Linked DNA regions of Lonchura striata. The protein of the gene in region 2 binds, or shares a complex with, the protein of the main gene of each other region. Links are inferred from orthologs where the notes say so. Each region holds a gene or a part of one and is shown on either strand. Other genes may lie near its edges. The genes, in order: LY96 and TLR4.

Region 1 (10,708 bases), on a different chromosome or scaffold from region 2:
AAGTCAGGGTAGTTCTGTGGCTTAACCAGGATAGCTGATTCCCAGAGATTTGGTGCACGTTGGCCGAGCAACTGATTATGGCTGTGCTACAAATGAGTAAGACTATAAAGCTTCCCAGATAGCACATGATATATTCTGCTTCAGGAAATTCAGACTGCATATTATTTCAGAGCTTGGATTCTAGTTGCTTACAGAAGTGATCTCCATGTTCTGGAATTATTTGAGAAGTTTGTTGCACTCAGAAAAGATCTTGTTTTACTATCATGGTGAAATTCAAGCATATGACCATATTATTCTCAGAATCATCAGAGAATCCTTGCACAACAATACTATAATTGCCCTAAAACACACAAGAAAAAAAAAAATACAATTAGTCCACAATACTGCCTGCTCTTGTCTAAGTGTCTCTTGGAATGGTTCTGGTGATGTATGTTAGAACTGAAAAAAATAGATTCCCATCAAAACTGCTTTCTTGGGTATAGTCAGGTATATGAGTGCATTCAAATAAAACTGTATTCAGCTTTCTTCTCATGGCTGGACTACTGAGGAATGACATTTCCTGGTCTAGCAGAGTCCTATCAGGAAATGTCAAGTCTACCATGAGCTCTTCATCGATATGAGGACAGCTCATGGCAGAGGATGTTCCTGTCCATTACTAGCTCTGGGGCTACAAGAGGTGTTGGACTGTTGGAAGTCCATGAGCTAAGGGGGATGGTGGAGATTTTGGACCAGTAGAAGCTCCTTAGTGCTTTTTTTAGGGATTAATAGGGTTGATAAGGGTCTTGGAAAAGCTCAGACAACTGATGAGGCAGTTGTTAGACAGAATGGCTTAACCTGAGGACTGGTGCTGCCCCTGTTTTAACAGTAGAGCACTACTTTTACTTTTTGGATATTGTTATCTCTCTTCAAACCTTTGAAATGGTTTCAGGGAGTAAGAGAGCAGCATGTGAAAAAAATGTAAAATAAAGAATGAAAAGGGCAGAAGGAATATGAATGGATTTACTCAAACAGGTAAAAAGAAAGAGAATAATTTACTAAACAAAATGGAATAATTAAGGTGATGTTAACTGATTACTTTGGTCTTTTCCTTCATAAAATAAAGGAGGAATGATAGAGGAATAATAACCTTAGAACATCTTAGCATTTCAGAGATGCTACCATTTTAGTGTCATCACTTCTATTATATGAAAGTTTTCTGACATTTCCTCTTCTGTTTTCTACAGTTTTGGTGAACATCTCTCTTCAGAAAAAATATACCTGTAAGTATGTGATTTTACTATTACACAAAACATTGAAAAGTACCTTTGGAAATGCTATTCTTGAGCCTTTAATGTCAAATGCTGATGCAAGTGTTTCTGAAAAACAGAGATAATTATAATACAAAGAGTTACTTAACCATAAAGCCATTAATCAGACTGCCTAAATCACTTCAAAGCAATATGGCATATCTCTCAGCAGCAGTTGCCAATGTCATTTACTCTTTCACTGATAAAGCCCCCGTCTGGTTCTTCTCTCAGAGCTCTGACTTTTTATTGAAACCACATTAGAAAATAGACATTAACCACAGTGCTCCTGCAACATCTCCTCCAGACAAATCCTACTGTGATAACTCCAGTAATTTAACTTGTAATAGTAGTTCACTTGAATGGTAACTGAAGAGAGCTGATACTGATTTTTAAAGAATGGAAAACAGACTGTATTTTGACCTCCTTACAGGCCTTTAGTCCTCATTTATGGAGATGGAAACCGCAGTACAAGGATGTTAAAATAAAGAATTTGGATATTTTTTACTTCAATGGCATTCTGCAATGGGAGAATTGCCTGCTCTGAGGTCTGCCAAGCAAGGTGTAGATTGTAGAGATAAAAACCTGTTTGCATGGGTTGATTGCACCATGTATTTTCACACCAACCTCCTTTCAGTGTTCCACACACTGAGTATTCATCGTCAGCTCCGCTGCAGAGGAGTTCTTTCCAGAAGAGCGCTTTGGCACCATCGTACCAGACATTGAAGACAATCTTCAAAAAGTGGATGTCACTTCCTAATTCAAAAATTGCAAGCAAGAAAATGGTAACTGGTGGGGGAGAAAAGCATATATGGAGACATGCTGTTTAGAAAAAACCTAGATTTTGCCAAAATACTTGGCAAAATACAAATACTTGTGTATTTGTAAGACTACCCCAAAACTAAAAAGGCATATATTTTGAAAACTGCAACTTCCAGAGAAAAAGAAAAAAGATATTGTTGTTTTTAACAACAACAAAAAATTAGTCTTCAAAAATATTTGAGAGAAAAATTTCAAAGTTAGTTTTAATTTCTTCAGTAAAAAAACCAGAGTTCATTCACCTCCACAGCTAATCTAAACACACACTCAAATGAAGACCTTAGTTTTAAGCAGGTGTTGCAAACAAACTATCATGAATGCATCACAAAGATATCTTTCTAGGGAAGCAAACCTAGTGCAGAAAGGGAAATTTATGATACAGCCAGATCCTAAACATTTCATGAGCTGAGCTTGCTGGCTTAAAGCTAGGTTTAAAGATCACAGTTAGGTTTGCACACAAAATCCAGTACCATTTCCAGCTTCTGGAACATACATATTCTCTGCAGAAGTCCTGCCATAGTTCAACGGCCTTATAATACTCTCTCTCCTTTAAAAGATTCGGATCTTCTCCAGGCCAGAAGACCAAAATGCTCATACACCTAAACTGTCACAGATTTGAATGTATAGTGACAGTCTGCGTCCAAGTAAAACTCAAACACATTTTCTCAAATCATCATTTCTGCCCATGACTATAGTTTAGCCACTCCATTTTTAACCCCAGAAACCAATTTCCTAAATCACTTGGCATTTAAGATGAAGTGTCAGTTTTTCAGTTGTATTTCATTTTCAGCATTTCCAGAATATAATTGTCTAGTTAAGAGAGACTCACTTGGAATCCAGGTAAGAGCAGCCTTCCAGACATGTTCGTTGGTCACGCTGCAAGGTGTCAGATTAAACATGAAAGCCTGAGCCATAGAATCTACAGAAAAAAAACATTTCACATTGATAGTTTGAATAGGCTTCTCCATAAAATAATACCAATATACAGTTATACACACAAAAACCATATACATATTTTAAAATGTATTTAAGTTACATGCTATAAAACTATTCAATATATGTGGTAATTATTAAATATGTTTTTTAATTATATTATTAATTATTTTTATATTCAGACAGCAAAACCTTTATCATATTTCTTTAAGTAAAGAGAAGTCAATTTTTGGCTGATGATAATTTGCACACAAAAACAGAAACAAAAGTGCCTTTATTTCTCTTTTGAAGATATACAAACTCTTTTTTAGCACTAAACCAGCATGGTCTTCTACTGAAAATATCCCTACTTATGCTAATCATGCTGACAAGAGCTAAAAAATATTTTTAATGCACTAGCATATTTTCCAAGTAATGTAAATGAACCTTTGAGTAGATTTACTCTGTGACTGACCCACCTTGTATTTTTAAAATACAAAAAATATCAGCCCATGACACAGACAGGGCAAGAAGGAATACACCATGCTGTCTCAGAACCTGATTGGTACCACAGCCTGACAGAATATGACATTCTCTCTTTTTCTCCCACATACTTCAAGCTTTCAATTGTAACATACTGGTTAACTCCATAGTTACAATTCATACAACAGAGTTCTTATGAAACAAATTTAAATCCATTATTTTCTAATATTTCCTGAACAAAAACATCATGTGAGAATAAAATTCTCTCTCTCCTAGCTGCTGAAACCAGCATTGTGGTAAGATTTATGCCTATGAAGTAAAATTCTTTAGCAGGGTGATTAATAACAGAAATATACTTATTCTTTATTTTTCTGTATTCTTCAAGGAAACAAATTTGAAAGAAAATTTACAATCCCTCAGACTACAGTAATTATCCCGCAAATTTAACAAAAGGATTATCTATTTTTTTACTTACCACAAAAAGTATATGACATTTCAAGATCAGATGATGTACAAATTAATTCACTGACTCCGGGGGTGAATAAAATGAACAAAATGAGTCCAAACATAGTTTTACTTTTTTTGCTCAGTATTCGATGGTATAAAACTTCATTTGGGAGAAAGAGGAAGAAAATTCAGCACAGTCATCGTCAGTCACATGTCTTCGGGGAAAGTTCTGTTATTTATCAAATTTTCTGCAATTTTTGTTAATCCTGCTGCAGCACTGTCAGTTATCATTACACTAAATTTTGTTAAGAAAAAGAATTCCTGATTTTGCTGTTACATTTTCCCCAGACAATGCAGTTCAAACCCAGAGTGAAAAAATTAAAGAGAAAACTGTGTGAAATGGGGAAGTGAAACGACATTATGACTACCAGAAGTACATAATGAGCAAGTTTAGTTGACTCATCAGCAGTAGTAAGCAGCTAGTCTCAGCTAATCCCAACTACAGGAACAGATCAAATTAAGCCTAATAGCTCATTCAAGAGAGCAGAACCCCCTCTACCTGACGGGAAACAGAACTAAATATTTTTTCTCAGTATAATGAAATATGGAAGTTTACTGAATTCAATGGAAGAATGACTTACAGAAATTAAGCAAATAATGTTCTCACAAGTTACCTTCTTGGTTTGTGTATATGTCTGCTGACTTCTCTTAGATTAGAAACTATTTATTTTTTAAGAAAAAGAAGCAATACATAAAATAGAGAGGTATTTGAGTTTGATTCATGCTAAGCAGGAAACTCAATAAAAATTCCAATAAATATTACAATCAGTTGTTCTGACTCTTTCCATTCCCCATCACAACACCTAAAAGTTTTTATTCTCACAAATTATGTGCATGCCAGGGTAATAATTTACATATTATAAAGGTAAAGTAGCAAAATATTAAGAAATTGTTTTTCAGAAGTCTGAACATGTAACACAAAAGAAATTTAGGAATAATGATGCACATGAAAACCATGACTGAGTGTGCTCAGAGATAGGGATTGTTCCTAGATTAATTAAGGAAGGTGAAAATTGAATTAAAGGTGCCTGAAAGCACCATTTAATGAGCATGTAATAATTCACAAAATAAAATAAAAATTTGAAAAATTAATGCAGCTATTAAAGCTATTGATTTGGAAATACTGAAGCTATTAGCTCAAGTATTTCCAAATCCTTCTATAGACCACAAGAAGAGTCCCACTGGCCTGGTAGAGATCAAAATGTTAAGAAATTTTCAGTATTTGGCTTTTAAGTGGGAATTCAAAATGATATTACATTCCTGACAGATCCCCAGAGTACATACACCACACTCAGATGTTTGCTGTTGTTTAACAGAATGCTGTAAAACATATAAGCTCTTTGTGATCATAGCAATAACACAGATCTGGTTCAAGATGGACAAATATTGCTTAAAAATAGTAAGACATGCAGTGAAATCGAAATAAATCAGGAGGGCTGTAATAGTTGGAAAAAAGAAATGGAGCAGTAAGACAATCACAAAGGGACAATGAAGCAGCTACAAAAGAAGAGCTGCCTTTTGCACATACAGCCAAAAAAATATTCCTTTCCACCACAAAGCCATGCCCAGTGGTGTGAAGGAGGATAATCTGTGAGAAGCCAAGCCAGGCTCTCTGCTGAGTCTTCTATAAGTCCAACAGGTTTAGCACAAGTCCAAGGTCAGTCTGAAGCGGGCAGGGGGTGGCACTGACTGTACCCCACTGATGTACAAGATTTCCCAGCTGAACGTGGGTGCCTCTGTGGCCAGACTTGGTCTGGCCTTGCTGACCAATGTGTTGGGTGGCTGATGCACTCATGGGCAGAGTGGAAAGAGCACTGAAGTTTGAAAAGATTTTACATAAAGCTCTCTTAATATGAAAGAAGAGAAACTCTCTGCTGAATTGACTTTCTAGACCTGGTTCAAGAATGGGTGTTTTTTTCCAGATACTTGCTGCAGAAGTTATAGATGAGGAATGAGTCCCCCCTGGTGGCTTGGATAGACAGACACATGCAGAAACCTCCTGCTCCTTCCTTATTGCACTTTTATTGCACAAGTCAAGGCTATTCCAATGCTTTAAAAAGTCAGTGTAAGAAAGCTCAATTTAAAAGGATCTGGATGACTAAGTGGGAAAACAGGAACAATAAGCACTATTGGTATCACAGCTAAAATATCCTTTATGGCCATATTTATAAAGCCCACAACCTTGACCACTGTGTTTGGTCAAACTGTCATTAAATCTAAATAATCTAAATTATTTTTAAATACTTCCAGCAAACTCTGTTTTAGATGCTTGTGGTGTTCCATGCCAACATCGATGCTATTCATAAAAGTGACGTCTTGTGACGATCACTGAAGTCCCAAACTAGTGCACTAGTGGTGTGAAGAGTCTGTTCTGCTCCTTTCAAGTCAGTATGCGGATCACTGCAGAAGACTACAAAGTCATACACACTTTACTTTTACAAAATCTTTTTCTTTAGTATATTCTTTTTCTTATATATTCCAATCCAGAAGGAAGGCAAAAAGCAAGGAGAAGCAGAAAGAGCTACACAATAAGGTTACTTCACTGAGGTTTTGTCAGTGAAATACTTCATTTATTTCAAAATCCTTTGCAAGTAAATTCAGTAGGAACCAGCTCTCATATACAATTAACAGTACATAAATTCAAGTCTAAGGAATTTAGAACTTCATACCTATGACTTTTAATTTCGTTGCATCGAGATGCTGATAATAGAAGCTTATTGCAAGTTTCCTCACTGATTTGTAGTTAACATCCTTAAAATAATTCATGATATTTTTATCTTTTTTTTCAATGCATCCAAAAAGGGCTTAACTTACTTTTGATTTCCTTTCAAAATAATCACTTTGTATTTGGATTGTTGGCTGCAGATGAGTACGCTGACCAGATAAGCACTTATAAGTCATTAAAATCTTCCTCAGGAAAGATTTATAATATGCATGATCATCATATCTCATCACAGAAACATAAATAACAGAATAACAGGGGAAGGTATTCCATTTCAAAGTGTTAGTCACACAGAATTAACAATTATATTCTAGCTTTTGGCATGTAACAAAATTTCACTTTAATGGAAAACTCTTTTAAGACATTAACCACATTTGTTAAATAGAGAAAGAGGCAATAATAATTTTCTTTGCAGGACAATTTGTGAATTTTTGAAGTAGATAATTTTGCAACTGGAAGCAGACATTTATTCCTCCTGATTCTGGGTTTAGGGTTGATACTGTAGGCACTATAACATAAAGGGGCTGTATATAAGGCATAAGACTGCATTCAAAAAATAAAAATACACTCAACTATCAGCATGGAGAATAGAAAACTGTAGACTCCTCTCAAATTGCCTCACTCTATTTTTGACACTGTTTATAGTGAAAGTCATGTCCAAGGATACAATAAAGAGGTAGAGGATTCATTTCCTCTGCAGGCAACTGATGAACTGCTCGAGGGTACCATGGGAGTCAAAACAAAGAGCAGGGCACTGGCACATATCCAGTGGTGCATTGGTAGCATTTGAGTAAGAAACCAAAGAGTTTTTGAAATATAGAAAAAGTGCTGTGCATTACACTGAATACGTTTTGTTAAATGCTGTATGAACTTTGCCTTAGTGGTTTGATTTGAATATATCACATTAAACCACTGGAGACTATTAAATTGTAGCAAACACATACCAGGTGGTATGGTTTTCCTGTGCAAACTATTATGTTGGAAATTACTCCCTGCCTCTTGCCAGTAGCCTTGGTTTATTCTCTGCAAGCCAAGTTTAGGACTAAATCTTACAGTTGTACTCTGAAGTATTCATTAGACTATTAAAATTGCTGAAAAGAAAAGAAAGTAGAGGATGAAGGGACAAGAAAGGGAGGTGTCCTACCTGAGGCTCACAGTATGCACACCACAGCAACACTTTCCATCCCGAATTCTAGAAAGGGAGACAGCTGGACATGTTTTGCAGCTGTTTGCTCTTGTTCTCTGCTATTCCCTGCTTAAAATAGCTGCTTGCTGAGGTCTGTGTAGCTCTGAGATAATCTTATTATAGTGGATCCAACTCACAGCTAAGCACACTTGTCCCGTTTCTCATGCAGGCTGAAGCAGGCTATGCTGTACATGGGGGAATGAAGAAATCCATGGTATGAGGGATGAAGAAATTTGTGGTATGGCCACAGAACTCCAGAGCAACCAACTTACAGCAGTTTACCAAGTTTCCACCCTATTAAGTTATACTGAGCAGTTGTAGTAATTCACATGTCTGCTCTTAATTTTTACAGCACAAAGAAACTTCCATGAATTTTCCATCACCTAAATTAAGCCCTCATGGTTTCATGCAAAAATTTATAGATTTTCTTAATCTTTGCCAATGTGATGTCTTTGCTCCATTCAAATTAGTTACCTTTTAATTCTACAGAGTGTGGTTAAGAGTGTGAAGTACCTCAGAGCTTTAAAGATTTCTCTTTGAAGTATCAAAAAGGGATCATTTTCTCATAAAAAATTTTACATTTGCAAGAAAAGGATGAGGGTTATGAGATACTTTAATTTAAAAAATAACTTTAAAGTATGACAAGGAGCTTTGTACTTTATAATTAAGAACAGATAGGGACTAATGAAAAATAATGTGGACAAAGCCAAAAACTTGAGAAACGGAGAGGGTCACTAGCAAGAAAATAACACATAGTCAAAGACTGAAAAGAAAAATTTGCATATATCCTAACTGTTCTTCAAAGGGAAAAGAAAAAAGAAAAAAGCCAGTCATCCATGACCTTTTGTGGAAGCTTTTAAGGCTGGAAGGGCATAGAAAGAATGTGTCTAGGAAGGAAACTTCAGTAATTTCATACAGAATAACAGAATTAACTAGGTTGGAAAAGACCTCTGAAATCACCGAGTCCAACCTATGACCAAACACCACAGTGGCAACTAGACCAGGGCATTGAGTGCCATATCCAGCCTTTCCTTAAACACCGCCGGGGACAGTGACTCCACCACTTCCCTGGGCAGCCTGTTCCAATTTCTAATCACCCCTTCTATGAAGAAATTCCACCTGATGTCCAACCTGAACCTCCCCTGGCATAGCTTGAGGACATTTCTTCTCATCCTGTTGCTGGTTGCCTGGGAGATCAGCAATCCTCCATCTGCCTACAGCCTCCTCTCAAGCCTCCTTTTCTCCAGCCTAAACAATCCCAGCTCCTTCAGCTGCTCCTGTCAGGACTTACCTTCTAGAGCCTTCACCATCTTCATTGCTCTCCTGTGGACACACTCCAGCACCTCAACACCCTCCCTGAATTAAGGGGCCCAAAACTGAACACAGTACATGAGGTGGCCTCACCAGTGCCGAGTGAAGTGGGGGCAATCACTGCCCTGGTCCTGCTGGCCACACTGTTAGTGATACACATTGATACATTCCTGCTCTTCATACCAGTTTGAGTGAAACTGGGACCAGGATAAGATGTGTCCCGATGCTATGGACAAGTGATTGGTTGGTCCTGAAAAGGCTGCTGGAGCTGTCAGCCTTCACTGTAGGCATTACCTTTCAATTAAACAGTTTTCTAAATCACTTATTTCAGAAAACTGGCCTCCTACATCAGTATTTCCTTCAGAACCTCCACATGTACAAGGACATTCTCTAGATCACATAGTTTCTTCCATATCATATACAAGTTACCTACACCCAAATAAATATCACCAACTTCCAGGGATGAAAATGTTAGCAGGCAGTAATACTTCTGCACTTAATACTGGTTTTTCACCAAGTGTATGAAACTTAAGAAAAATACACTAGAAAAAAATAGTAATTCACATAATTAATAAGGTTGTTAAACAGACATGGAGCTAACAGACTTTGGCAATTACCTGGTAGTAATTTGTTTACTGAAACACTCACACCACAGTTGATTCTCTTGCAGGATTTGTTAGTAGCAAGAGGGCCTGTTCTGATACGCACATTTTCTACCGTAGAAAGACACCAAGGATTTCAGAGCTTTCCCACCTGGAAATGCACACAACGCACTAAAAAATATCTTAATAAAGACAGACTGCTCAGAACTCAGAGCAAAGAAGAAACACATCCTGAAGTCTTTTTTTTATTACAATTCCCTTATTTTATTCTGATTCTAATGTGAATAACTGCTCTCAAAAATTCCAGGGATTGAAACCAGTCACATATGTGGAAGTATACCCAAATTCTCTGTTCATTTTTGGGTCTCTCACTACACAAAGGACATTGAGGTGTTGAGTGTGTCCAGAGAAGGCAGTGAAACTGGTAAAGGGTCTGGAGCATAAGTCTTATGAGGAACAAACAGCTGGGGGTATCGGTGCTGGGATCCTGACACAGGAAGAATGATGTACAGGACTCAAATGATTTCAGAAGGCTAATTAATTACTTTATTAATCTATTATACTATAACTATATTACACTAATATAACACTAATAATAACGATCACTAACAAGAAATCCCGTAACTCTCTCCCGAGAGTCCCAACACAGCTGTGACCTAATTGGTCAATCAGTCCAAAACACCATCACCAGGACCCAGTCAGTCACCTTGGGTAAACAATCTCCACGCCACATTCCACACCAGCACAAGCACAGGAGCAGCGAATGAGATAAGAATTGTTTTGATTCTCTTTTCTTTGCTTCTCTCAGGAGAAATCCTGAGAAGACGAAGTCTCTCTCTGTTCAGAGGGTATGCGAATACCACACTGGGGGAACTGGGGTTGC
Region 2 (11,136 bases):
TTGGTGTAGGAAATATCCAGGTAAATCAGTCTCTGAAGGGACAGAAAGACAGGGTAGGAGCCAGGACCAAATAAGGTTGTGTGCTGAAGGTCCAAATATAACAAATTCTTCACATTAGTGAAATCTCCAGTCAATCTGATATTAGAATTGAAGCTTAAGTTCAAGTGTTTCAAATTTGGACAATTTTGGAACTGACGGGAACAGCAGCTGCTGAAGGTGAGTCTGTTCTCACTCAAATCAATGACCTCCAGGTTACTGAGACCCACAAATTTCTGCTCGAAGGTTTTGAGACTTTTGTTCTCAGTAATACGAAGCACTCTCAGCTCCTTGAAAAGTGACAGCTTCTGGGCAGGCATATCCTCAAAATCGCATTTCTTGCATTCCAGCTGTCTCACTTTAGACCACAGAGGAACCTGTGATATCTCCTCCAGTCCGAGGTCCACCAGGCGAATAGTGGAGACGTTGCCTACGCAGTTGAAGAGAGTGTCTGTGTCATCCTCAATCCCCCGGAGGCAGATTAAGACAAACTCTTCCATCTGTACCTGGCACAGTCCATCCAAGAGCCTCCCCTCAAAGTCCTGCAGTCTCTCAATATTCCTGAACTCCCCAACTATGAGTCTGCTGACCTGCAAACCAGCCAGGCCTTGCAGAGCAGTTTGCATCGTGGATTTCTCAAAAGCAGACCTGAACGCCAGCTCGGCGAGGTGAATCCCTGCAAAGGCCCCTGGCTCTATGGATTTGATATTGTTCAAGGAAAGCACCAGCGTGAGGTTGAGCCTGTTCCCTCCCCTCAGGGCATCAAGGTCTCCTCTGGAGATAGATGTGATTTTGTTAGAGGAGAAGCTCAGGTGCCTGAGGGAGGTCATGTTGGTGAAATACTTGGGAAGCTTCAATGAAGTAATGCTGTTGTGGCCTAAATTCAGCTCCTGCAGAGTATGCAAGTGGCCAATAGGCAGCTCAGACAGAGAGGTCCTGTTGGTTTCCACCAGAACCAATTTTTTCAGAGATGTTAGGCCATAGAAAGCTGCTTTCCCCAGGTGCTGGAAGGAATTGGCAGTTAAAACCAAGGTGGAAAGTCTAGGGAGGTCCATAAAGGAGTTATCTTCTATTGTATGGAGGTGGCACCTGATGGGAATGAAAAGAAAATATAAATATATGAAACACTGTCCCTTCCTTGTTCACTGAGTGCTGCTGTGACACCCTCAGGCTCAGCCTCACACTGGGGCTGGTTTGGCTTTGCTGTGCTGGGCAGAGCCAGCACCCCTGGATATGCAAAGGGAGCGCTCCTCCAGCAGGAGACCTCCTCTCACCTTCTCCTCTCCAATCTTAAATTCAAAGCAAGACACCTGGAGACCTGGTGAAGATCAAAAATTTGTGCAGCCAGCGGGAAAGAAGAATCCTAGCCATCAGTTTAGGCCAAAGTGACACTGTGATGACAATGATGTGACTGTGTGCTCACTTGGAGCTCACATACCTCCAAACAGGGATGGAGGAGGCAGCCTGACAGCGGGGACAGGACAAATCACTGATGGAAGAACCAACCAGAGCCAGCATTCCCTCACCCCTGGCATCCCCCAGCCCTCTGACTGCCACCTCAGCCACACCTGGGCAGCCCCACTGGCACCAGAGCTCACAGCTCTGTCAGCAGCTGATCTCTGCTGATGGCTCAGAGGCAGCAGAGCCCGGCTGTGCTGCCTCTGAAAGAGAAAAGGAAGAGGGGAAAATGAGCATGGCCCCCTAAGGTTTGTTTGATGTGGGAAGATCCAGAAGTTGAGACCCAAATCCATTCTGCAGCGAGTCCCAGCAGAATTAGTTTAATAATCCAGGCAGTGCCTCACAGCAAACGTGCTCTGCCACTCAGCCACTTTGGAGCTAGAGCTGTGACGGGGCTGAGTGACATTTCTCAGTGAAACAATTTACCTGGAGAAACTGTTGTCTGAAGTCAATGGAAATTATACATCAATTCAAATTTGCTAATAGGCCTCCCCCATCTCCTCCCCCAGATATGTGAGGAGAAGGCAAAAGAGAATATGTTGATATTTTAAAACAGCCTTTTAGAAAATGAATGTACCTTCATGGTTTTTTTTTTTAAACTGTGATTAGAAAAACAGCTCACCCAAGATGTTCCACTTCAGAGTTTTTGTAACAGTGAAAAGTCTGACATTTTTCTTGTTCACAGACAAGTGAAACATCTTCCTCCTCCTTCTCACATTGCAACCTACAAGATCAGACTGACAGACCCAGCTCTGAGAGGAGGGTGTGCACTCAGTGACTGGACTAAAAGTTGCACATCACCACGGGGATGTGCAAAATGACAGACACAGGGACAAAGTCACAAGAAAAAAACATAAACAGCCAAGACCAATAGACCCCAAAATAAGCCACCATTGTAACCCAGCTGGTGAAGAAAAATTTACCACGTATATTACGTGTATTATATTACGTATCCACGTAATAGATCCCACTACCTTGAAAGATCCAGAATCTGCAGCTCAGGGACTGATGCAAAATAATTTGACCCCAGTGATTTCAGATTGCTGAAACTGAGGTCCAGGTTCTGGGTGGTGTTTGGGACTCCATCAGGAACTCCAGAGATGTTCAGTCCAGTGCATCTGAAAGTTGTGTTAGGGGTGATCTGAAAAGAGGCAGATCCCATCATGGTCAACATCTGCTCTTCATGGAATGCCAGAAAATGTCACTGTCAGGAGAGCAGGAGCAGAATGACCCCCTTTATAGTGCAGTTCTAAAGGAGCTCCCCTGAGTTTTAGGAAATAACCTTACACACCCTAAACATTTTTCTAATTCCTAATAGAAGCAGTCCTATTCTCCAAGAAGAGCTGCATTTCTTGCTGACTGAAGCTGGGACAAAACTACAGAATAGCATTCCCTGAGGTTACAGATGAACCAGCAGCAACCTTTGAGAGAGCCAGCAGGACAAACACTCATGGATGCACTGCATGTCCAGGAACAGCTCTCAGCCCTCTTCCCCTGCACATAACCAGGCAGATTGAACCAAAGTTATTCTGCAAGCAAATAATTGTCAGCAAAACTTTGCAAAAGGCAGTTGGTCCTTGTCAGGTACTTGGTGAAATCACTCTACTGCACAAACCAGGCAAAAATCTGTGTTTTGTAGAAATTAGACAAGTTTGGATCCCTTCCAAGGGAAATATAATCTATTACAATAACTGCACTGCAGCACTGTCGGAATCCAGGGCTTCCCTCTGGCTGCCCTGGCAGGTCTGGGACCCTGGCAGGGGTCAGGAACCCCCCTGGACAGAGCCCCCAGAGACACTGGCTGTGATCTCTGGCCATGGAAAAGACTTTTCAATCTTACAGGATCAATTACCAGCTCTGAGTGTTTGATGTAAGTAATAATTAAGTGTGGCATGGGTGCAAAAGTAAAATTTTAGGATTCTAGATGAGGGGTCCAAAGGGGACAAGATGGAGGAAATTGGGTGTGCCTTGTCCTTCTTCTCCTTCTTCATGCCCTCCATGTTTCACTGTGGTGTTGGCATTTTTTTGTTCATTCAGGCTGGGGACACACTGTCCAACGTAGGTGACAGATATTGGCACGTTCTTGTAAATGCAGCCCAGGGAGTTTCTGGTATTTAATGTTTGTAACATCCCACTGAGGGCAGAGCCCCACACGCTGCCCTGCAGGACAGAGCTGGGCAGGGCAGCAGAACATGTGAGAGATAAACAGAATAAACAACCTGGAAACCAGCACAGACCAATTATGGCTTCTGCTTTGGCAGCGGGGCTGACAGACAGAGACTTTCTACAATCTCAGGATCATCAATAGCTCAGATTCTGACACAGCACCCTCAGAGTTTCAGAAAGCCAATGAGAAGAAAAAATTCTTGCTGCTGGTTCTGGTTCTCAGATGTTTTCGAGACTAGAATTTACTTCAATCACCTTGATAATAACCTTGGGGGGAAAAAAAATCTGGGCTTTCCTAAGAGACTTGAGGCACAAATCTCCCAAGCAAAGAGAAAAGTTGCACCAGAGAGACAGAAGGATTTTGTGCTCACTCAGAGCTCACATACCTCCAAACAGGGATCCAGGAGGCAGCCTGCCAGTGGGGATGGGACAAATGCCAGCTGCAGCAGCACCAGGAGTGTCCCCACAGGAAGGGCTCCTCTCCTGGGCATCTTCAGGAGGCCAGGAGTGCAGGAGAAAGGAGCATGGAGAGAGAAACCTGGAGACAGAAAGCTCCTGCAGTGCCAGGAGTTGTGTTTCATCACTCCTGCTTCTCACTGCACATCTCTGAGAGCTGCAGAGAACGAGGAAGGAAGTGAAGCTTGGCCAGTGACTTGTTTCTACACACACTCGGGGTGAATTGCTCTTCTTGCAATTGTTAAAAAAAAATAGCCAAGAAGGAAAAAAGAAGTAATGATGGATATAGTTTGGGCTAGAAATTGAAGAGGAATATGGGTTTCATCAGTGCCACTTGACTTGATTGCCTCTGATTAGCTCAGGTCAAATTGGCAAAAAAAAAAAAAAACAAACCAACAGAATATTTTGTGCAATTCTGAGCCCAGTTCCATGCTCCACATCCCATAATTCAAATGCACTGGTTAGAGAGGGTGACTCTGCCTTTGCACTCCTGCCATGCTCCCAGCTTCAGCCTTGCAAGCCCTGGAGAAGAGCTCAGCTTTGGCAGAGGTTTTCTCAAGCCAGATAAACACAGGTTTATCTCTGGCCAAGCTCTTGTGGTTAAACATCCAGGTTTTACCAACCTGGTTGGGCCTTTATTGCAATTATTGCAGGAATATGGCCAGGCACAAGGAGATTCACAGAGGGATCAGAGGTGTGGTCACAGAAATTCTACCCCTCCCCACCCTTGCCAAGTTGCTGGGGCAGCAAAAAGGAGAGGCACAAACACCTGAGCTGGACTTAGAGCTGCTCCCTGCCCTGCTCATGCCTGAATCTCTGTTTGATGCCTGCCTACAGAACATCTCAATGCTGAATTCCCAATGCAGACCATTGTTTCAGGGGAAAAAAAAAAGCTTTGTAAAACCTCACTGTGGGCAATATTAATTTAAGTCAGCTGTGAGCCTTCTAATAAAGCTCTCTGCCTTCATTTAGTCTGATAAATGGTTGTGCATTCATGTATCTCCTCCTGTCTTTGTGGAGATAACTAAGAAATGTTACAGGGGATCCAGCTATAGGGTTGCTGGGTATTATCAACACCACATAGACAGAAGTGGCAAAAATATGAGACAAGGGTGGAATATTGGTCTAGAGGAAGATGGAATAAAGTGTGACGACTCATGAACGTCTGTGAAAATTGATATTAAATATAAGATGCGATATCAGCCCAGTGAGTGATCCACTTATAAAGAAAACTTAAAAATATTTCAGAAGTGGGGGTTAGACTTTTTTGACAGGTAGTAGAGAGCCTAGGAGAGATGGGGAATCCTAAAATAACTGATGATCTCTGCAATAAAAAAACACATGGCAGCACAATGGGAGCTAAAACCGACACCCTGATGTGCAGCCAGATAGTGCCCATTAAGCCAGCAGACAAAAAGTTTGTTGAAATTGGGCAAGTTCTACAAAATCCCTGCTCTGAAAAGCCTCTGGTGATTGCAGGTATTTCCTTTTATAGATGGAATCAAAAGTGAATGGAAACAATTGCTGACTGCTTCTGTGCCTGGATTAAGGAAATTGGCAGAGCATCGTGTGTCTGCAGAGAGAACAAATGAGTGCATCCCTTAGTATTCAATATGTGGAATGAGGCAATCCACATTTAATTTTTATCTAAAGCTGAGATGAGCCTGAAGTATGCTCCAGAAATTACCATTTCAATGGAGACTTACTGAAGATGCTGAAGAGTTTGGGAGCATCACAAAATCCCTCCCACAGCCACACTCACAGGTCAAGTGGGAAGTGCAGCTTGAAGGGCATTCAAAGGAGGCACTGCTGCTGTCACAAGGGACAGTTTCACAGCACACATCGTAATTTGTTCAAGGATAAGTCCTACAGACACTGCAAGGGACGGGGCACTAGCAGAAAACATGCAAGTTAGCAGACCAAACCCAGCCACCAGTTTAGAAAGTCAGTGCTGGTTAAGTTCATGTTTCTCAGCTGGCACGCAGCAGCGTGGATAAAGCCATAATGTCTAAGTGATTGTTCACAAACACCAAAAGAATGATTTGGAATCCCTTAAAGTGACATGAATAACATCTAAAGACAAACACGATTCACTACTCTGGCAATTTACTGGGATCATTAAAGAGCTCTCAGCAAGGAGGTGTTGCAGAGAATCTGTGTTTCCAAAAACACGTGCCTGAGTCATCTCTGTGCTCCTGAACATTATTATAATATAAATAACACAATGCAGACAGTGCATATGCAGCCTCTGTGATCTCAAGCAAGGTATTACAGAGTATAAGACAGACACAATGTAGCTGGACTGACAAGACAACTTATACTTACTTATTTTAAAAGAAAATTATTTGTGAACTCCAGCTGAAAAACAAAGTTAGCCAGAAACCCTTGGACAAGTGGTGAGAGCCATAAAAACAGGATTGTCTGTCCCTGGGGTGATTTCAAGGTCACAGTTAACCCAGTACCACGTGCAGATGAGCAGCTCTTGCCCTGGAGAGCGGCTCTGTTTGCTTCAGGAGTCATCTCAAGCACTTCCCCAAGTCTGTCTGCAAACAGAGGCTGAGGAACATGACAGAAACTATTTCAAGGTTAAACAAAACCAGGTCTTATTTTACGTGAAAAAAACATCTCTAACAATTATTTGATTATGAGCTGTGCATCAGAGGGCAGAGATTGATGGATGAAAGAGGAGGGAGCATTCCTGAGGTGCTGGCATTTTCACAGCACACGACTTGTGGAGCTCGGGGAGCACCACGAGAGGCTCCAAAAGTCCTTGAGAAGCTCAGGATGCACCAGGTGAGCCAGCACTGCTCTCAGGTGGGCTGGCCACATGTCCCTTCCTAACTATCACAGAGACAGCCTTGCAGTCACCTGTGGTGAATGAGGCTGAAATCAGACACTCTGCAGGACGGATCCAGGCTCAGGGGGTGCAGGCAGCTACCAGGCCTTGGGGTTCACCTGACAGTCCTTATTCTCAGCAAGTCACTCACCTGTCCAGGTCTGAAAGGTTGTCAGAGTGGACAGGAAACGTGGCACAAATTTAACAGCAAGTTGAATTTTCCCAGCCATTCTGCTGGGAAAAACAGTTTATATAAATTACAACGAAAAATGGCAGAAAGAATAGTCTGAAAACATCTTTAAGATCTTTTTGCTGCACATTCCACAAACATTCCATTGCTTCCTGAACCTGGAGAGTCACTGCCTTGCTCAGTAAGCCCTGCCTGACCTGGCAGGCACAGGACACAGGACAGAGGCAGTGCTGGTGCACACAGAGCCTGCACCAAGGCTGGGAGGGAGCTGAGACACTGATTGCATCAGGACAGGTCCTAGAGAGCTGCCATGCCTGTAACTCTCACTTGTGATGCTTCCCATGTGAAGCTGATGCCTAAAGAGGCTGACCTGGAATAGAGACTGGGCAGACTTAAAGGAATAATAGGGATTTATTAAACTGCCTTCATAGGATACACCTTGGGCAGTGCAAGAGCCTGGCTGTGGCTCTGCCCACCATGGACACAAGATTGCAAACCAGTCATGAGTTGTCGCACTTTTATAAGTTTTGGTCCATTTCCATATTGGGGTTCATTGTCCAGTTCCAGCTCCAGGTTATGCAGTCCCATCCTCACAGTCTGATCTCCTCAAGTCCCTGTTGTTGTACCCCTTGAGCCTAAAGCTGCAAAGGTGTCCTTGGTGATCAGGCTGGAAAAGGATTGTTCTGTCTGACTGAACTGTGAGGAGAACTTGCTAACACTTTGTATGAAGCTCTGAGTCACACACTAAGGCAAGTGCAGAATCTAAAAAATATGAAAGTTAAAACTTGAAGCATCAAAGTGGGTCTAATAATGGAATCACAGACTGGTTTAGATTGGATGGAGCCCTCAAGTTCATCTCATTCCAAGCTCTAAGCTCCATCCAGCTTGGCCTTGGCCACTTCCAGGGATGGGGGAACCACAACTCACACTTGATGGAAGATCAGCCTGGAAGAGCTCCTGCCTCTACTTCTGGATCTCCCAGCTTTGAAAAAAAGAGCAACACTCAGGCTGAGAAACTGCACATTAAATTTGGGGTGTCAGACCCAAAGAAGACCCAGCATCACTTCTCTCTCTGCCTGATTGACTCCAGCTGCAGTTCCAGAGCAAGGAGATCTGTCATGCAGGTTGCTTGTGGTGCCTCTGAGTGTCCAGGAAGGGCATGGAGGTGGCATCACAGTTTCTTCATGGTGGCACCTAGCAGAGTTCAGCATGGCTGAGGTGTTCCCCATTACACAGAAGGACTGAGACTGGTGTACACAGGGGCAGAAAAACAACCCAAAAGCCAGAGTCCAAGTTGGTTTGATGAAAATCAGCCAAGCCTGCACTGGAGTAGGCAATGTGTGCCATCAGGTGGGCTATTCTCAAAGCCAAGATCATATGAACACCCCAGAACTATTCCAAAGCTATTAGAGAAGAACTGTGTCAAGTAACCAGGGACAAATACACTACTAGAAGAAGTGATTAATCAGTGTCAAGATAGTCACTATCTGTGGCAGCTACTCCATATGGATTATGTCAGGTCATTAGGAGCCCTACATTTCACTGTTTAATCTAAATGGCTGGAAGGATTTCACACAGATGGTGGAGGCATCCAGCCTGGCCTGCCAAGCATTCATGGGCAGGCAGTGAGTGACAGTGGAGCCCCCTGGACCCCTGGAGAGAGGCAGGCTGGCACCAAACAGCCCAGCAGCACCTTGTCCTTCTGTCTGGGATGAACCACGGTTCCCCCTGGGCTGGCCAGAGCCAGGGATTCACTGGCACCATGGAGGTGAGGGTGGGCACAGTGCCTTGGCATGGAAATGTGCTTAGAGGGAGTAGAAATTCCTCCCACAGCCCTGAGAAAGGTGGATTGGCCACCTCAGACTGGTGCTGGCTTTTTTACTAAATCAACAATGGGACTTATTTTATTTTTCTTTCCCCCTCCATTACAACTTTATTATGGTGTCTCATAGCCTGATATACATATGTTTTGTATTTCTGTGGCTTTGATTTGTCCTGGTTATTCTACCTCCTCTCCCCCACTTCTCTTAATGAGTCTACTGTAGGGCAAGGGTTTATTCAGACTATCAAACATGAAAGGTGTGTAGGGCACGGAGCACTGCAGAGCTCAGACTTTCTAAACTGGACACAGGAAAGGTTGATCTGGGGACTCAGCGCCACAACTGAAGCATGATTAAATATCAAGCCCCTGCAGCACTGCTGTGACACTCTGGGAAAGCTTGAAACAAGGGGCAGCTCTAATGATGATCTGGGGAGATTACAGATCCCTGCTTTGAGGGACAACCATACCATAAGAGCAAAAAGCTGTGTAGCAGCCCTGCTTTCTGTCAATCCTGAGAGCACTGCCACGGGCACTGACCGTGCCAAGACTCCTGAGCCTCATGGTTGTGGTTTCACTGCCATGACCTGACACTGGATGACAGGAAAATGTTGCAATGGCTGCAGAAGAAAGTGCAGACCCAGCTCCTGTAAACCGTGGCAAAGTTCTTGTGTACACATTACCCGAAGAGAAAATGCAAACATTCCCTGGGGTTACTTCAGCTTTAGACATCAGCTCCCACACTTCAACACTTTTATGGCATTTGCCAGGAGAAGAACACAGAATGTAAATTGTCTGCAGTGCTGAGAGCCCACTTCCATTACTGCCACAATAAATAAATAAATATTTGTTTATTTATAATAATAAATTCCAAAAGAGTGGGCGAGACAGATCCAGATGCAGGATTGCCTGCACTTGGAGGGCTGTATATTGGAATCTACAAAACCTGGGTGGTTATTCCGTGCTTTTTGGAGAGCAAAGACTTATTTGTGCACAGAGTATAAAACCTGAAGCAGTGTTCCTGATGGTGAATTTATTCAAACACTCCTTTTCTCTCAGTTCTGCTTAGTTTGCACATTTTGGGGGGATTTTTTTAAGCATTTCCTTGTCCTTGAGTTGCCTGCACCAACCAGGACAAAACCACTTCTGTTCCCACAGAGGAGGAACCCAGCAGCCACAAGCAGGGAAAGCATAGGAAGAGCATTAACCCTTTGTAGATCACAAGGCTGGGTGCTATGGAAAGCTGTCAGGAAGCAGGGCTGAGATACCAGAGGGGAAGTTACCAGGAAAAGGAGTGACAAAAGGACACAGCAAATACCCTGACAGCCTGACCACAGTGAAGGGGAGGGAGGGAGGAAGGAAATGTGAGGAAAAGCAGAAGTTTCCCCTCCCACGGACTGATGTTTCCACACCTCAAATGAAGCTGCTGTCAGAGACACAGCCTGATCCAAAGCAAACCAGCCCCACTTTTAGGGTTTGCCCTCTAATAGGTGGGCAGGAAGGGTGCTCTTCCCAAGGAACAGCCAGCTAAGAGGCTGCAGCAAGGTGCTTGTACAGCAGCAAATCCATCACTCTAGGTCCTTTCTGCTGCAGAAGCAGCATTCTGGAGAGGCTGCAACTGAGGTAAACCCATGAAGGTGACAGGACACGAATAAAGCAGCAACAAGGGAAGTAAAGGAGGGGGAACATAACATAAATATAGCTGCATCCTGGGAGAAAGCAGAAGGTGTGGCTCCAGAGTTGGAATGTGGGCAAGAGCCACTGTTGCCCTGATTTTTAAAAGTGTTAAGTTTTCTTCTATAGTTCTTTTGAAAATCTTAAAATTCTCATAAAACTTCTTCAGCCTTCTGATCTGTTTACATATTTCTACTAGAGTTCTCACACACTGTTCATATAAATAATAATTGCTTTACATTCTTCTTTGTAAGAAGAGAGAATTGATAGACAGTTTAAGCAGTGTGGCTGGAGAAGTAGTAATTCCATCCTCCAATCCACAATCACCTCTGAAATTCTATAAATATCAAATGCTCAAATAAAACACTCTCTTTTTTAGCCTTTGAACTTACCAAGTGTTTGTGTATGTATTTCATGTCCGATAATAACAAGCCAGCACATGTAAGTGGTGTTTTAAGGTGGCTCCTTAAATGTGGAAGATCTTCATCACACAAAGACTTG

Evidence for each region.
Region 1: the proteins of TLR4 (region 2) and LY96 are in contact, whole or in part, in a crystal structure (PDB 4G8A), measured with the Homo sapiens proteins. The link is inferred for Lonchura striata from reciprocal best matches to the Homo sapiens genes TLR4 and LY96. Residues at the interface, in NP_612564.1 of Homo sapiens: Gln39, Met41, Glu42, Asp60, Ser62, Phe63, Asp84, Ser86, Arg87, Thr110, Gly111, Val132, Val134, Glu135, Asn156, His159, Ser183, Ser184, Asp209, Leu212, Arg234, Val259, Glu262, Phe263, Arg264, Asn265, Glu266, Arg289, Ala291, Tyr292; in NP_056179.4 of Homo sapiens: Met40, Tyr42, Ile66, Pro67, Arg68, Arg96, Ser98, Asp99, Asp100, Asp101, Tyr102, Ser103, Phe104, Arg106, Leu108, Lys109, Gly110, Glu111, Thr112, Thr115, Thr116, Ile117.

The regions. Positions count from the first base shown.
Region 1 is NC_134603.1:32,170,347-32,181,054, forward strand, and holds the start of LY96 (lymphocyte antigen 96), read right to left. Parts: upstream 4,086-10,708; 5' UTR 4,067-4,085; coding exon 3,973-4,066; intron 3,022-3,972; coding exon 2,932-3,021; intron 2,040-2,931; coding exon 1,911-2,039; intron 1,356-1,910; coding exon 1,303-1,355; intron 341-1,302; coding exon 239-340; 3' UTR 1-238. UniProt on the Homo sapiens protein: Binds bacterial lipopolysaccharide (LPS). Cooperates with TLR4 in the innate immune response to bacterial lipopolysaccharide (LPS), and with TLR2 in the response to cell wall components from Gram-positive and Gram-negative bacteria.
Region 2 is NC_134624.1:2,203,247-2,214,382, forward strand, and holds the start of TLR4 (toll-like receptor 4), read right to left. Parts: upstream 4,173-11,136; 5' UTR 4,152-4,172; coding exon 4,047-4,151; intron 2,636-4,046; coding exon 2,469-2,635; intron 1,126-2,468; coding exon 1-1,125.